Tribolium castaneum: one gene and its partner. The protein of the gene in region 2 binds, or shares a complex with, the protein of the main gene of each other region. Links are inferred from orthologs where the notes say so. Each region holds a gene or a part of one and is shown on either strand. Other genes may lie near its edges.

The links.
Region 1: IscU (region 2) and bcn92 share a complex: the UniProt entries of both Drosophila melanogaster proteins name them as parts of the mitochondrial core iron-sulfur cluster (ISC) assembly complex. The link is inferred for Tribolium castaneum from reciprocal best matches to the Drosophila melanogaster genes IscU and bcn92.

What each region holds. Positions count from the first base shown.
Region 1 is NC_087396.1:23,067,655-23,069,859, reverse strand, and holds bcn92 (protein bcn92), read left to right. Parts: upstream 1-1,227; 5' UTR 1,228-1,293; coding exon 1,294-1,370; intron 1,371-1,413; coding exon 1,414-1,534; intron 1,535-1,583; coding exon 1,584-1,652; 3' UTR 1,653-1,702; downstream 1,703-2,205. Other genes in the region: Mettl3 (N6-adenosine-methyltransferase catalytic subunit), read right to left, coding at 94-541, 589-1,170; Mat89Ba (nucleolar protein 6), read right to left, coding at 1,703-1,825, 1,870-2,205. UniProt on the Drosophila melanogaster protein: Stabilizing factor of the core iron-sulfur cluster (ISC) assembly complex that regulates the stability and cysteine desulfurase activity of Nfs1 and participates in the [2Fe-2S] clusters assembly on the scaffolding protein IscU.
Region 2 is NC_087396.1:14,883,238-14,885,577, forward strand, and holds IscU (iron-sulfur cluster assembly scaffold protein IscU), read left to right. Parts: upstream 1-1,184; 5' UTR 1,185-1,280; coding exon 1,281-1,736; 3' UTR 1,737-1,840; downstream 1,841-2,340. Other genes in the region: structure-specific endonuclease subunit SLX4, read right to left, coding at 1,845-1,925, 1,976-2,340. UniProt on the Drosophila melanogaster protein: Scaffold protein for the de novo synthesis of iron-sulfur (Fe-S) clusters within mitochondria, which is required for maturation of both mitochondrial and cytoplasmic [2Fe-2S] and [4Fe-4S] proteins.

The DNA of each region.
Region 1 (2,205 bases), about 8.2 Mb from region 2:
GGCTCATTTGACGTATTATGGCAGCTTTTCACAAGATTTTAAATTTTGGAAGTCACGACCAAACGCAAATATTATTAAGACCGACAAACAAACCTAAGACAGTCATGTCGAGATAGCGCAGGTCGCACTGCACCCACTGCGGGGGGTACAAGGTAGTGCTTTCTTTTGGGGCCACTGAGACGGCGGTGGCGGCCGGGGCTACGCCCTCCGTTTGCCCACAGCGATCGACTTCATAGTGGACGTATTTACAAGTGTCCATGTGGAAACAAGTGTTAAGGAAGGAACAATCCCCTAAAGCTTCGTCAGTGTGTTTTTGTATGATTTTTTTAAAATGCAATTTTTTGCAGTCTGTGATTCCGTTTCGTTCGCAGTCGGCGCGAGTCCCATGGGGGCAAAACTCCATCAGTTGTTTGCCCCCTTGAGACCTGAAGCGCTCGGCCAGCGAACGCTCTTTGGCCGTTGGTTTACTCAACAGATCTAGAATTTCTTCGCCCAGTTTTTTACTCTCTTTTTCTTTCGTTGAGGGCATTGATAGTAAAGACTAGGGAAATTAATTAATTAAAAGGACAGAATCAATCAGTTAATTACCATGATGTCAGCTTTTGGTTCCTTCTTCTCTTTTTTCCTCTTCTCTTCGTCTTCGTTTTTCTCCGAGTCGTTTCGCTTCCGCTTCAGGGATTCCCTCACCCGTTCAGGCAAAAACTCCGCAATCATTGCGTTAACTTTAGTCACATCGATAAAAGTCACTTCGACCACGTTCTTCCCCTCTTTGACTAAATCCTTGATAGTGATCAACTTCTGAGTTGAGAATTTTTGCAACAAATTGCAAACTTCCTTATGTGAGGCATGTCGCTTCAAAGTCAATTTCAACGAATCGACCAATTCCGTCGAAGTTGTGGGGATCTGAAGAGTGACTTCGCTCAGCGCCTTCAACAACTCTTTCTCCAGCTCTGGGTCGATTTTCACCAAATCGATTTCACCCTCCTCTGGTCTTTTAACATCTTCGCCCCCAACACCACCCGCATGGGGGCTGTCGGACAGGTGCACAGGTGACGAGTTGAGACTCGAACCAAGGATGTCCTGCCGCTCCTTCTTGCGCTTTTCCAGGCGTTCGCGCAGGATGTTCCGCTTGCTTTTGATAGCTTGGATCTCTTCCCAAGCGTCCGACATTTCAAAAGACTATTTTCCGCCAAAAAAACACAACTAACACATGTTTGAGGTTACGGCTAACGCTAACTAACACAACCTCAACTCTTTGGTTATGTTCTTTCGGTTTCGTAAAATTGGGGCAAAATGAGTAAAAGACAGGCGTTGCAGTTGTATAAAGCTCTGATTCGCGAGTCGAAGAAGTTTCCGGCTTATAACTTCAGGTAAGGGCGTTTTTGCAAACGATTTTTTCATTGGGGGTTGTAGACACTATGCCTTAAGGAAGATAAGGGACAGTTTTCGGGAAAATAGACAATTGACTGACCAGGACGTGATTAGGCAAAAAATGGATGAAGGAGTTCGTAATTTAGATGTAATTAAAAGACAGGTATTCACAATTAATTCGTTTAGGGGTTAATTGACGTAATTATCTCCAGGTGGTCGTAAGTCAATTATATAGCACCGAAAAACTGGTTATTGAGCACGTGAGGGCCCAAAAAAACTAATTTGTAAGGTTTGTAATGGTTAGAAATAATAAGAGTAATTGTTTGATTTTTTATTTCTTCTTATCAATTGACTTGACTAAGCCTTTTCCCACAATATAAAAGTCTTCAATCAACGCATCCACGTTCAGCTCCAATTTTCCATTCACAAGTTTCCTCCCGCTTGCATAAGACACCTAAAAATAAATGTAATAAATCAAAAAACATCTAAAAATCTCACCTTGAAGTCTCGACTTTCCAAAGCTTTAGGTATCCACAAAACCCCGATAAAATTACCTCCGTACGTATCGTGGAAAAAATTGGCAAAATCGCCGTAATGTTTGCGCAGTTCGGCCAAATACAACTGAACTGGGTTAAAGCCAGTGACTGGAATTTTCGTGCTTTCGTTTCTGTTAAATTCCTCCAAAACAATTTGCCCCTCGGACTCGTCCCCAGTGACTTGTTCGTGTCGTACGGGGTTCAAAAGGGGGCGCAAGTGAATAATAACATCGTACCCCTCAAGATTCGGAATAAACAAGCTTTTAATTGAACCAAAACTCTCTCCTTTGATGATTTG
Region 2 (2,340 bases):
AATTTACAAAATATAAGCTTATTGCGACCTTTTCGTGTGGTGACAAGAGACAACACTTTGGAAAAAATATTTAATAGGTTAGTTAATACAAAAATATTAGGTATTTACAAGAAATATGTAATTATCGATTCGTGTTGTGCACATCAAACAAAGTCTCGTCTTCTTCGTCCTCGTCAAGTGGAAGAGGTGTCATCTCTATGTCACTGCGCCGTGTCCTCACACCGTATTTGCTTACCATCACAGGTTGTTTGCTTTTTTTACTGCTAACAAAACCCGTCAGTCATTAGAACAACAAATTACGTGCTAATTTACCCGCAATAAGTCTTCAAGGCCATGTAAACAATTACTAGAGCTGTTAAAATCACCACAACGGAAACACCCCGCAAAAGGGCACCCGATTCCATTTCCGTTGGTTTGAAAACTTTGTGATCTTCAACTTTCGTTTCATTTTTTTCGAGTGTTTTGCTCGGTTTTTTTGGTTCAGGAGGTACTTCCTGAGGTTTGACAGGTTGGGGTTCAACCTTTGCTTCATTTTTTATGTGCACTGTTTCTACATGATCCTTAGGCTCTTCTGCTTTGCTAGCTTCCACTTTTTTTCCGTCACTCTGAGGGGGTATCACATTCAGCAAACGCCGGTTATTAACATAAATCACTTCATTAGTTGTTACAATAAAGGTTAGGTGCGAAAACACAAACAAAACAACAAAAGGAGACATTGGATAAATTAACCACAAAAACGCATCAAAAACTTGCAGATTTTTTAATCACATTTCACTTCTTTTACGGGGTTTAATCATTATTTTGTATTTTTTCTTCCAGCATATTGACAACAGTAACGTCACCTGTCAAAATGTACAGTTTTTTAAAATTTGTTGCTTTTATAAACGCAAAACACGATTAACCAGTTTGAATAGGGCAAACACAACAATTAACTCGTTTTATCAATTAAAACAATTTAAAACTTTAAATATTTTGCTAATTTTGATTTTATAAACTTTTTGCTTGAAGGTAGTTGCCTTCGAATGTAATAACGCCCGAAAAAAATATCAATAAAAACTGAGAGCAGTGTTTTCCACTATTTGTATTGTATTCAGAGCATTGTGCAATTTTGCACTATGAGTATTATTGCATTTATTTGTCGATAAAAATATTTTAAATAAATGATTCGTGAATCGGTACATTCGGGCGCAAGCTCTACTTGCCTGACGTCAAATTTGGAGGTTAAATTGGTCAAATAAACATTTGATATTCGCGAAGAGTGATAGCGCAAGAATTGAGGCATGGCGTTGAGCTCCTCCTCAAAATTGTTGCGTGCCGTGGAGCCGCTGAGAGTCCTAGCAGCTGCCTACCACCCTAAAGTGATCGATCACTACGAAAATCCGCGCAATGTCGGCTCCCTTGACAAGAACGACGAGTCCGTGGGCACAGGCCTCGTGGGGGCCCCGGCCTGCGGCGACGTCATGAAGTTGCAAATCAAGGTGGACGAAAATGGGAAAATCATCGATGCTAAGTTCAAAACATTTGGTTGTGGGTCAGCCATTGCAAGCAGTTCTCTTGCTACAGAATGGGTAAAGGGTAAGACAGTTGATCAAGCCCTTGAACTGAAGAACACAGATATCGCAAAAGAGTTGTCGTTGCCTCCCGTCAAGTTGCATTGCTCTATGCTGGCGGAAGACGCGATAAAAGCGGCATTGTCTGATTACAGAATTAAGCAGAAGAAGAAGGAAGAGAAGTAAATGGTCAACGGATTTAAGGGTTGTGATATTTAAATTGTAGTCGGATTAAAATTAAAAGCTTTAATGTGTAAATTTGCTAAATTTAATTAAAGTTATAAATAAGTCCCGTCATTGTTTTTTTCCGATACTGCGTTGACCTTGCGCTGTACGTATCGTTATGCACTTTTTATCTAAAAATGTTAGTAGATCCTGAAACACGTAATTGGCAAAAACAAATATTTTGTAAACACTGAACTTACCTGAATATTGTATTTGAAACCTTGTTCTTTTAACATTGAATGTAAATTCTCCAATTGGAGGGGCTCATACAGCAATATATCTTCCCTAATTTTGGGGTTACTCATTACTAAATTGTGCCAGGCGATGTGCAAAGGCAATCGACACGATGCTATTCGCTTTGATTGGGTTCTTTCAAAAATCAATTCCTCCTCTTCTCCTACATCACCGATAATATCATTAAATTGGACGAGATTATTAGTACGTCTTTTTTTTACAATTTTTCCATCGTTATCTTCAACTATAGGATGCGTCGCCTCATAAATATATTTCAGTAGCTTAGCACCTTTACTTCTTTTGAGCGGTTTCAGGCCAAACTTATCCAGTT